Linked DNA regions of Macaca mulatta. The protein of the gene in region 1 interacts with the protein of each later gene in a biochemical or structural test. Links are inferred from orthologs where the notes say so. Each region holds a gene or a part of one and is shown in the gene's direction. Other genes may lie near its edges.

Evidence for each region. The genes of interacting proteins can lie anywhere in the genome.
Region 2: the proteins of SEC31A (region 1) and SEC13 form a complex in vitro, tested with the Homo sapiens proteins (2 studies listed by BioGRID and IntAct, with this or other methods). The link is inferred for Macaca mulatta from reciprocal best matches to the Homo sapiens genes SEC31A and SEC13.
Region 3: of the proteins of SEC31A (region 1) and KLHL12, one has a biochemical effect on the other in vitro, tested with the Homo sapiens proteins (3 studies listed by BioGRID, with this or other methods). The link is inferred for Macaca mulatta from reciprocal best matches to the Homo sapiens genes SEC31A and KLHL12.

Annotation. Positions count from the first base shown.
Region 1 is NC_133410.1:50,915,231-50,918,730, forward strand, and holds part of SEC31A (protein transport protein Sec31A), read left to right. Parts: intron 1-370; coding exon 371-532; intron 533-728; coding exon 729-881; intron 882-3,041; coding exon 3,042-3,278; intron 3,279-3,500. UniProt on the Homo sapiens protein: Component of the coat protein complex II (COPII) which promotes the formation of transport vesicles from the endoplasmic reticulum (ER).
Region 2 is NC_133407.1:149,175,576-149,179,716, reverse strand, and holds the start of SEC13 (protein SEC13 homolog), read left to right. Parts: upstream 1-1,341; 5' UTR 1,342-1,397; coding exon 1,398-1,400; exon of another isoform or gene 1,401-1,924; intron 1,925-3,000; exon of another isoform or gene 3,001-3,037; coding exon of another isoform or gene 3,038-3,178; intron 3,179-4,141. UniProt on the Homo sapiens protein: Functions as a component of the nuclear pore complex (NPC) and the COPII coat. At the endoplasmic reticulum, SEC13 is involved in the biogenesis of COPII-coated vesicles.
Region 3 is NC_133406.1:60,591,088-60,595,196, reverse strand, and holds the start of KLHL12 (kelch-like protein 12), read left to right. Parts: upstream 1-1,309; 5' UTR 1,310-1,414; exon of another isoform or gene 1,415-1,442; intron 1,443-3,271; exon of another isoform or gene 3,272-3,308; coding exon of another isoform or gene 3,309-3,353; coding exon 3,354-3,548; intron 3,549-4,109. UniProt on the Homo sapiens protein: Substrate-specific adapter of a BCR (BTB-CUL3-RBX1) E3 ubiquitin ligase complex that acts as a negative regulator of Wnt signaling pathway and ER-Golgi transport.

The DNA of each region.
Region 1 (3,500 bases):
GACGGAGTCTCGCTCTGTCGCCCAGCCCAGGCTGGAGTGCAGTGGCGCGATCTCGGCTCACTGCAAGCTCCGCCTCCCGGGTTCACGCCATTCTCCTGCCTCAGCCTCCCGAGTAGCTGGGACTACAGGCGCCCACAACCGCGCCCGGCTAATTTTTTGTATTTTTAGTAGAGACGGGGTTTCACCGTGGTCTCGATCTCCTGACCTTGTGATCCGCCCGCCTCGGCCTCCCAAAGTGCTGGGATTACAGGCGTGAGCCACCGCGCCCGGCCTACTTCTTTCTATATAGACACAGTAACAGTCTGATCTCTCTTTCTTTTCCCCACACCACCATTTTCTGAGTGTTGTTGTTTGTTTTTTGTTGGCCCAGGTGTTATATGAACTTCCCACCAACACACAGTGGTGCTTCGATATTCAGTGGTGTCCCCGAAATCCTGCTGTCTTATCAGCTGCTTCGTTTGATGGGCGTATCAGTGTTTATTCTATCATGGGAGGAAGCACAGACGGTTTAAGACAGAAACAAGTTGACAAGGTAATAGGAAGTGTTAAAGTTTTCTATTATAATGCCTGAAAAAAGTACATGTTGTGTAATATTTTGAAATGACTTCACTGATTAACATTGCTGGTTAATTGGACAATTGTGATCAAAAATTTTTTTGGATATGACTGGAAAAAAATGAAAGATAGTTTGTGTATGGTCAGATTCTCATGTTATTAATCTTTTTTAGCTTTCATCATCTTTTGGGAATCTTGATCCCTTCGGCACAGGACAGCCCCTTCCTCCATTACAAATTCCACAGCAGACTGCTCAGCATAGTATAGTGCTGCCTCTGAAGAAGCCGCCCAAGTGGATTCGAAGGCCTGTTGGTGCTTCTTTTTCAGTAGGTGGATTTTGTTTTTATGGTCCATAGTCACAAAGGACTTTTTATACCAAAGTGTTATTACAGGATCACTCTGATGGAAGAAGTCGGGGTTTAAGTTGGGATTTGAGATGTATTTGTGGGTATTTCATCATTCAAAATGATTTCTCTGAAAAACTGGAACCTACTCTTTTTTTTCCCTTTTTTAAAAACATGGTAAAATATACATAAAATTTATCATTTTATCCATTTTCAAATGTACAGTTCAATGGCATTAAGTACATTTACATTGTTGTTGTGTAGCCAACACTCTATGTTCCTCCCCCCACTTTTTTTTTTTAAATATTTTTTTATTTTAGACAGAGTCTTGCTCTGTTGCCCAGGGTGGAGTGCACTGGCGCAATCTCGGCTCACTGCAACCTCCGCCTCCTGGGTTCAAGCAGTTCTCCTGCCTCAGCCTCCTGAGTAACTGGAATTACAGGTGCACGCCACCACACCTGGCTAATTTTTGTATTTTTAGTAGAGATGCGGTTTTACCATGTTGACTGGGGCTGGTCTCGAACTCCTGACCTCAGGTGATCCACCTGCCTCGGCCTCCCAAAGTGCTGGGATTACAGGCATGAGTCACTGTACCAGGCCCTCCTCCCTTTTTTTTAAATGTGTCTTCCTTCTCTCTCTCTCTCTCTCTCTCTCTCTCTCTCTCTCTCTCTCTCTGTCTCTCTAGCTCTTTCCCTCGCTCCCTCCCTCCCTTCTTTTTTTCTTTTCTTTTCTCTTCTCTTCTCTTTTCTTTTCTTTTCTTTTCACAGGGAGTGTCCTCCCTCCTCTTCATCCTTTTAGCTTTCTTTTTTAATTGTCAGCTTTTTTTATTGTAAAAAATACGTAATATAAAATTTACTATCTTAACAATTTTAAATATACACTACAACCATTTTTAAATATATACTACAGTAGTGTTAACTATATACATGTTGTTGTGCAACAGATCTCTAGAACTTTTTCATCTTGCAAAACTGAAACTCTGTGCCCTTGAACAGCAGCTCCCCATTTCCTCTTTCCCTTGAATCCCTGGTAACCACATTCTACTTTGTTGCTAGGAGTTTTACTACTTTAAATTACTCATATAAATGGAATCATGCAGTACTTGTCTTTTTGTGGCTGGCTTATTTTACTTAGCTTAATGTCCTCAAGGTTTATTTGTGTTGTAGCATGACAGAATTTACTTCTTTTTACAGGCCAAATAATATTGCATTGTATATATATATATATACCACATTTTTTTTATCCTTTCATTTGATGGTCATTTTGGTTGCTTCCATCTTTTGGCTATTGTGAATAAATGCTGTGGTGAACATGGGTTTGTAATTATCGTTTTGGGATCCTGTTTTCAGTTTTTTGAGACATATACCCAGAAGTGGGATTGCTGGATCGTACGATGGTTCTATTTTTAAGTTTTTGAAGAACCTCTATACCGTTACCATTTTACATTCTCACTAATAGTGCACAAGGGTTCTAGTTTCTCCACATCCTCTCTAGCACTTTTTGTTTGTTTGTTTCTTTCTTCCTTTTACATTGCTGACACTTTGCCTAATTCTTTCACACCAGACTTCTAATAGCTTGATTGCATATTTGTTGCTTGTCTTTTTCCTCTCTAATCTTTACTACATATTCCAAGATTAATCTTCCTAAAATAGACCTTCGAATATGTTTTATGTCACTCATAAGTTTGTTCTTTGGATCTACTTAATCTTCTCATCATCCTATCTGGTCTTCTGTATCTGGGTGGATCACTTGAGGTTTGGAGTTCAAGACCAGCCTGGCCAACATGGTGAAACCCTGTCTACTAAAAATACAAAAATTAGCCAGGCGTGTGGCCGGCACCTGTAATCCCAGCTACTCAGGAGGCTGAGGCAGGAGAATCACTTGAACCCAGGAGGCAGAGGTTGTAGTGAGCCAACATCCCGCCTTTGCACTCCAGCCTGGGTGACTAAGAGTGAAACTCTGTCTCAAAAAAAAAAAAGTACATTTCATCTAGAACAGAAATTGAAGTGATGTCAGACTGTGGCGCATGAGAGGTGGTATCAACTAATTTCATCCAGATTATCTGTTTAGGCCACTTTATAAGCACTGTTTTTGGCCATATCCTCGGGTTAACACTGAGTTTGTTCATTCTCTCTTTTATAGTTTGGAGGCAAACTGGTTACATTTGAGAATGTTAGAATGCCTTCTCATCAGGGAGCTGAGCAGCAGCAGCAGCAGCACCATGTGTTCATTAGTCAGGTTGTAACAGAAAAGGAGTTCCTCAGCCGGTCAGACCAACTTCAGCAGGCTGTGCAGTCACAAGGATTTATCAATTATTGCCAAAAAAAAATTGATGCTTCTCAGACTGAATTTGAGAAAAATGTGTGGTCCTTTTTGAAGGTAAAGTTGCTATTTAAGGCTGTATTATTTCATTATCTGCAAATTTAACTGTTCCATTATATTCTAAATCTGTCTTCCTTTTAAAGAATTGAAAAAGTGTGATTTCAGCAATTCATCATGAAATTAAGAAGCCTTATAAAGAGCATACAACCTGTGTCCAGAGTTTTTCCTTCTCTACTTTGAAAAGTGTAATACGAAATACATTTTTAATAAGAAAACAAA
Region 2 (4,141 bases), on another chromosome or scaffold:
CCTTAGTTCTAACCCCCTACTCCCCTGACCTCCTCTCCAAAGCTCCTTGACAGTCTGGGTCTATCACACTCTCCGAGCCTTAACATCTTCCTTCAAGCAGTGACCATCTCCAGCTAGGGTCCTTACTCCCAGTTTCAACAGAGGAAACTGAAGGACTGTGACTTACCCAAGGGGAGTCAAGGCCTACCCCAGCTCACCTGCCTCCTTAATATCACAAGGGCCCCAGGGTTAGACCATACGTGGCTGAGGGGGAGGGGGGCCCAGGCTCTGTCCTCCAGTGTGGCATTCTCACTGCGCTTGTGGGGAACCTTCAGCTGCCCTACCTTGGGAAGCCAGAGACCTGGGGTCAGGGATGCTAGGAATTAGGTCTAGGGCTCTAGCTGCAGGAGCCTGGCTGAGATCCTTCATTGCCTATGGGGAATCTCCCTGATGGGACTTACTCAGGACCCCGGGGGATCGGTTTGGAAGGGGCAGTCCTATATAGGGGTTAGGGATGGCAGGGTGAGAGGTCCCAGCCTCTGGTGAGGGGCATTCCCTGGCCTCCTCTGCCCTGGTCCCAGTCCTTGGGTCCTGATGGGGGGACTACAACAAGGAAGCACTAGGACAGTCTACTTACTCCCAAGACATCACTCATCCTACAACATTCAACATAAGGCCAGTCTCACCCAGAGCCGCAGAGAGGCGGGTGAAGCTGTAGGTAGGTAGGTAGGTAGATAGATAGATAGATAGGTAGATAGATAGATTTTTTTTTTTTTTTTAACAAGAGTCTCGCTCTGTCGCCCAGCCTGGAGTGCAACGGTGCAGTCATGGCTCACTGCAACCTCCGCCTCCCGGGTTCCAGCGATTCTCCTGCCTCAGCCTCCCGAGTAGCTGGGACTACAGGCGCGCGCCACCATGCCCGGCTAATTTTTGTATTTTTAGTAGAGACGGGATTTCACCATGTTGGTCAGGCTGGTCTCGAACTCCTGACCTCAGGTGATCCGCCCCCAGCTCGGCCTCCCAAAGTTCTAGGATTACAGGCATGAGCCACCGCGCCCGGCCGATAGTTATATTAATCTTTCCTTTCGTTTATGGATCTCAGGAAAAGGGCAGACTTGGTCGGGAGAGTAGACCCACCAGAGCTTCAGATTCCAAAGCCCCCCTGGTCAGGGTCACTGCGGCAACCAGAGCCTCAGCCCTCTGGTCTCGGCGTCACTGGAGGATAGGGGCTGGGCCTCGGGAAGGCGGGGCGCGCCCTTTGGAAGGCGCGGAACTGTTGTGAGAGCCGAGCGCGTTGCTGCCCGGAGGCTCCTACGCCACGGCCCGGCAGCTTGAGGGCCGGGCGCCGGAAGTGAGCTATTCGGAGGCGCCGCCGGGAGCTGCCACGTCCGAGACCCGGAGCAGCCACCGCCACAATCATGGTGAGTGTTGGGACTGAGGAGGCCGAGCAGGGTGAAGGCCACGGTCGCAGCCCTCACGGGTTCCTCGGCCGTGCTGAGTCCCAAATCCTAAGCTCCCCTCCACCCACCGCTTAGAGATCTGGGGAGCTCTGGCCCCGTCCTTGCGGACCATTCCGAGCGGAGTCCAGAGGTGAAGCCAAAGAACCTCCCTGACTCTGCGGGGCGCGCCGCTGCCGCGTCTCCTGCCAGCCTCCTTCCTTCTCTTCCAACAATTGAATACAAAACGAGAAACAGCAGAGGAGCTACTCTATACCGAGCCCTCAGCATTGTTCGTAATCTCAGCCTGCTAACATGCTTGTGAAGAAGGTGCCATTCTTCTCAACACTTTACAGATGAGGACACTTGAGGTTCGGAGACGTGGAGCCTCTTGCACAGCTGCTTAAGTGGTAGAGCCGAGATTTGAACCCTTCTAACCATTCCTTTCTGCCGCCTACTACATCCCCTAGCAGAGATGATTGGACAGTTGCTCGGGATAGGGCCCCCAGGTAGGATGGGCACCTCGGGAAACGTGAAGATGGCCTGAACGACCCTCCGAAGGCAGGGGCTCAGGGTTTTTTAAGTCTCTGTGGCATCTGCAGTGTACATTCACTCCACACTTACTCCTTGAGTGAATGAATGACTGAATGAGAACTAAAGAATGGAAGTATCCGGGCTGAGCCTGGCATATCTAGTACATGCATTCTTTTAGAAACATGGGTGTGCCTCAGCAGCAGGTTTGAGGGAACCTGCAGGAACCTAGAAATCAGAACACTGTGTTCTTGCTCTGCAGAGGGTTAGGTGTAAATCACTCACCTCTGGCTCTTCCACTGCAGGTTAGAGTTGAGGCTCTTATGCTCTGACATTGAGCTCATCCTAAATGAATTTTTAACTCATTATCTGATTTCAAAGAGGTGAATTATTTTGAGTACAGGTGTTAACAGGGACCAGATAACACCAGGTCCCTGGGAAGAAGTACTCTAAGAAGTTAGTTCTCTCTCTCTCCCCCCTCTCCCCCCACTACCCTCTCCCTCTCTCTCCCTCTCCCCCTCTCCCCCTTCCTGCCTCCTTCCTCCCTCCTTCCCTCCTTTTCTCTCCCCCTCCTTCTTTCCTCCCCCCCCCCTTCTCTCTCTCTGTCTCATTCAGAAGCATGGTTCATCAACCGTGACTGGTGGGTGAGAGTGGTTAGAATTAAATGTGGATTATTTCTAAGGTCCTTTGGTAACACGGCTGAAACTACTTCTCAGTAAACTTTCTTCCTGAACCTACTTATCCTCAGCTTTACAGAACTCAGTGTAACAACTGCTTTACATTTTAGACAGGCAGCCTGGTGGAGTGAAGTTTTGTGGATTGGGAGTTAGAAGGTTAGAGAATGGGGCTCTTTTCCCAGTTCTGCCTTTACCTAGCTCTGTGACTTTGGCAAGTGCTTTCTCTTCTCTGGGCTTTTTCAGTTCCTTAGTCTGTTGTAGGTCTCTGATTGACTCTGCCCTTGGTACCCTGCCCTCCCCGCCTTCCCGTGCACTTTGTAACCTATACAGCTTGGCACATGGAGGAAACTCCTTATTGTCCTTACTTGCCTTTGCAGACTTCGGGGACCTGTTTTTTAGAGAGTCTAGAATTTGATGAGAGAACCTGTGCTTACTTGGTGTGTACCTCTTGAACTGCTTTGCAGCCATCCTCTTCCAGTGTCTGCCTTTCTGAAAACACAAGTCAAACTTTATACCTACAGGGCTTGTGCTGGAAAAGATGAAATGGGGAAAATGGTAAGAAATGTCTGTTCCACAATGAAACTTCTTTTAAGTCCTCTTTTCTGTCCCAAGAATTTAAGAGAATAGTGGTTGAGCAAAGAAAAAAAAAACACCTTTTGTTCATTTACTTATTCATTCAGCAAATAGTCACTGAGTTCCTTCTATTTGCAAAGCACTGTGCTGGAAGATTTGAGGGGATTTGAAACTGCAGATGGCTCAGACTGTGGATCCAAGGAGCTCACCTTCTAGTGGGGAGAAGAAACAGCATAAAATGTTGTTTGTGGTCAGTGCTGAAGATGTGCAAGAGAGTCCAGCCATTTGAGGATCTGAGAATCAAGAAAGGTGATGGGTGGCCCTTTTTGAGCTGGACTTCAGAGAATGGAGAGGAGGGTGATGACCATGACACCATGTTCCAGCCCTACAAACTGTTCAATCCTGGATCCCACTAGGTGATGGACCAGGGAGCAGCCTCAGGAAAAACTAATCAAGTCTCCCAGTCTGAAGTAATGACTTTGTTAGGCATAAACTGCCTGGAACATCAGAGGCTCTGTCATCCAGGAAAGGAACACCAGCTGTAGCTCCCTTGTGGTCTCTCCTCACCCTTAAGAGTAGCCAGGACTGCTTGCCATTTCCCCACACACATCAGGCTCTCAGACCTCTTTGTCTCTCCTCATGTATTCCCTCTGCTTGGCTGCTTGGACTGGTATTTTCTCCTGTGCCACCTGCAAATTCCTACCCATCATCTAAGGCTCAATTCATGTCTACCACCCCACCCCTCAGGCTCCTATGGGACACTCAAACCACCATTACAGAATTTATCTTGCCACACTAGCATTATTCGCGAGCTTCTCAAGGGCAAAAGTTCCTCTTTGTGTATCTAGTTCCTGGCACAGTGCTTGGCAAAAAGAAGGTACTTAGAATGAATGCTTACTGAGTGAATGAATGAATGAACGAACGAATGCAGTCGTTCGTTGAGAT
Region 3 (4,109 bases), on another chromosome or scaffold:
CTCACAGAGGAAAATAGTATTACCAAACACAATTTGTCTAGACACTGAGATAAGCTGAACTAATTAACCTCTTTGCCTTTTCAGTCACTAAGATAAGTGCACCAAAATCAATTAGAATTTACTGAATCAATTAGAATTTCCTTAGAATCAATTCAGCGGTGATGACAGGGACCATTATGATGCAGAGTATATACTGAGGTCTGTGGGTCGCAGGGCTCAGAGGATTATCGCCGCAGCGTTGTTCGGCACGAAAAGGCCATTGTGGACAATGGACGTGAAAAAATTTGAGGCCTCTGTGGGTTTTCTCGATGTCAAAAAGTTTCTCAGTACCTGGAAGGTAAAACATACTTGCTGCAATCAGATGCTTGGCATATTAAGCGTTGGAATTCTCTCTGTGTGCCCTGCCTCGTGAGCAGTAGGGAGGAACTCAGGCTCAGACAGTCGCTGAGCTGTAGATACATTCCCAGGCTCCCTGCCGGACCCCACAACATCCGGCCTTTTTTGTTTTTTTCTTTTTTTTTTTTTTTTGGAGACGGCGTTTCAGTCGGTCGCCCAGGCTTGAGTGCAGTGGCGCGATCTCGGCTCACTACAACCTCCGCCTCCTGGGTTCTAGCGATTCTCCTGCCTTAGCCTCCTGAGTAGCTGGGATTACAGACGCGTGCGACAACGCCCGGCTAATGTTTTTTGTATTTTTAGTACAGATGGGGTTTCACCATGTTGGCCAGGCTGGTCTCAAATTCCTGACCTCAAGTAATACACCCGCCTTGGCCTCCCAAAGTGCAGGGATTATAGGCGTGAGCCACCACGCCCGGACTTTTTTTTTTTTTTTTTTCAACAGGGTCTCTGCAGTGGCGACTCTGGCTTACTGCAACCTCTGCGCCTAGCTCAAGTGATCCTCCTGCCTCAGCCTCCCGAGTAGCTGGGACTACAGTCGGGGCCACCACGCCGGGCTAATTTTTTTTTTTTTTTTTTTTTTTTAGAAACGGGGTTTTGCCGTGTTCCCCAGGCGGGTGTGGAACTCCGGAGCTCAGGTAATTCGCTCGCCTCGGCCTGCCAAAGTGCCGGGATTACAGGCGTGAGCCACCATGCCCTGCCCACCAGACCTTTTTCTAATTCGGCTTCCTAGCAACGTGCAGAGGCCCGGCACCAGGGTACAGGCAGGTCACGTGACACCACCTCTTCACGTGACGCAGACTCGAGCGGGAGGAGGGCGGTGCTCCAGCTGCATTGCGTCATCACGTCGCGCGGCCGCAGGGACCAGACCTGGACGGCTCCAGAGCCTCCAGAGCCTCCGGGTGGGGGCGGCGGCGGCGGCTCTTCGGCTCTTCCTGAGCCGCCTGCTGGCCCCGCGCCCCACTCCATCCCCACAGGCTGGGGACGGGCCCGGCGCTGCTGTGTGGGCTCGGGAGCGGAGGTGAGTTGCGCGGAAGTGATGGCAGTCAGCCCTTCCCTTCCTGTCCGTCAACTCCGGGTTATGGCCCTACCCCCCATCCTTGGTCTCCCTGTAAGGCGGAATGGGAGACATGCCGGAGAGAGGAGGAAGGCTGGCGGGGGGGCGGGGCATCTGGCCTCAGTCGCCCTCTCAACTCTCCCCTGAATTGCCCCCCTGCGATACCTCCATCTGGCGGCGCCGGTCATATGCCTGGTGGTATCAGAAGGAAGGAGTTCGTTTCCTTCTCTAGAATGTAGTCTTTCCGGAATTTACTACCCCATTCCTGCCCCGAATCTCCCGAAGTGGAATCCCTCTATTCAGATGTTAACGGAAGTTCTAGAAAATAGGTCACTTCAGAAGGGTGAGGGTGAAGGATATGCTGAGACTTGGAGTGTTGAGGCAGGAATCCCCTAGAAGGAAGGCCACTCTGCACTAGGGGTACTGTCATTTTGGCACGGAAACGATAAAACACCCCCCAGGCTGTCTTCACTGTAAATGGACGTTTGTTCCAGACTCTTTTTGCACCCCTAGAGTTGAAACTAAGTTGACTTAAGTCTTTTTGAAAAACATATGCTTTGATGAATCACCCCCTTTTCTGCAAAATGGGTCATGCAGTTGTTGGAGGGATTATCTATAGTGCTTATAGAGTAAAATGCCAACTATAAACAGAAGTAGATGAGAATTTAGGATCTCATTTTTCCTGTTGAAAAATTACTTGTGAGTTGCGAACTTCTGGAGACCACAGTTTTATTTCCTGCCGTCCCCCTACCCCCGCCCCGCCGGATCGTTTCAGAAAGTTTTGGATTCCAATATTGATTCGTTAACCAGTAATGGACATTTACAGATATAGAGTAGGAATACCCTCTTGTTGAGGAGCTTCAATATCTTAAGCAAGTGTAAGTCCATCGGTAACTTGCGTGGTTTCCACTATTCAGTTAGGGTAATAGGTCAATTGAAGTTTCTTTCTTTCTTTTTTTTTTTTTTTTTTTGAGACAGAGTCTCGCCCTATTGCCAGGCTGGAGTGCGGTGGTGTGATCTCATCTCAATTCAACCTCCACCTCCTGGGTTCAAGCGATTCTCGTGCCTCAGCCTCCTTGGTAGCTAGGATTACAGGCGCGCGTCACCACACCTGGCTATTTTTTGTATTTTTAGTGGAGGCTAGGTTTCACCATGTTGGCCAGGCTGGTGTCAAACTCCTGACCTCAACTGATCCACCCATTTCAGCCTCCTAAAGTGCTGGGATTACAGGCGTGAGCTACTGGGCCTGGCCTGAAGTTTCATTTTAAGAAGAAATCCAGATATAGCTGAAAGTCATCAGACATAATTATTTGGCTACTTCTTTAGAAAAAAGTTTATTTTTACTGACTGGCCTTTCTCTCTCTAAGTTGAAGTTGAATACACACTTATTCTTACATTAAATTGTAAACATTCATTGTGCAACTTCTAGGATAGAAAGCATACATATAAAGCAGGATCCTCAGCCTCTAAATACTTATCTACTTAAGGATATTAAATAGTAATGATATAACACCTTTAAGAAATTGTATATTTTCAATTTGTCATTTGAGACAAGAACCTTGTGAAGATTTACAGGACATATATTGTTTATCTCTACTTACGTTTCAGCATTGATCATAATAAATGTCAAGTGGTAGGGACACTCCGTGGTAGAGGAATTCAGAGAAAGAAGAGAGAACTTTTACATGTACTAGATAGTGGCTAGATAGTGGTGGTGATGCCAGGCATAGGAGTGCCCTCAACTTGTGTCTGTTTGGGTCTGAGGGAAGCCTCTTAGGTTCTTAATTTGTAAAACTAATTAAATATGTTCAGTTTCCCTAGTTCTTTGAATATGCTCATTGTTTTTTTTCTCTTGTAGCTTCAGAATCCAAGGACCCATTTTGTTTTTTCTCCGCACTGCTTTATGGGAGGCATTATGGCCCCCAAAGACATAATGACAAATACTCATGCTAAATCCATCCTCAATTCAATGAACTCCCTCAGGAAGAGCAATACCCTCTGTGATGTGACATTGAGAGTAGAGCAGAAGGATTTCCCTGCCCATCGGATTGTGCTGGCTGCCTGTAGTGATTACTTCTGTGCCATGTTCACTAGTGAGGTAAGTGATAAGTTAGCCCCACACAAATGAAACTCCCGTGGTACTCTAGTTGTCTTATTTCACTGAATAAAATAGTAGAACTTTGATATAATTGTGAATTTTTACAGTGTGATGTTTTGGCAGATTCTGGATAAGATCTACCACTTAGATGACTATGCTTTAGTTTCCTCATCTTTAAGTTAGGAATAACAGTAATATGTAATAACTGGTTATTAAGGTTATTGTGAAGATTATTTTATGAAATAACGTACAAAATGCTTAGAGTAGTTTAATATGCAGTAAAACACAAATGTCAGCTATTGGATTTTACTATTTCTTAAATTTGTTTTCCAATTTTTCTCCTTTTTTTGTTTTTAATTTTATTTATTTATGTATTTATTTGTAGAGACAGGGTCTCACTGTGTTGCCCAGGCTGGTCTTGAACTCCTGGGCTCAAGCAATCCTCCCACCTTGGCCTCCCAGAGTGGCCACATCTGGCATTACAGGTGTGAGCCACTGCACCTGGCCTTTTCTCCTTCTAAAGTCTAAAAATTTTTAAGTGAGTACCAGAGGGATGAGGAG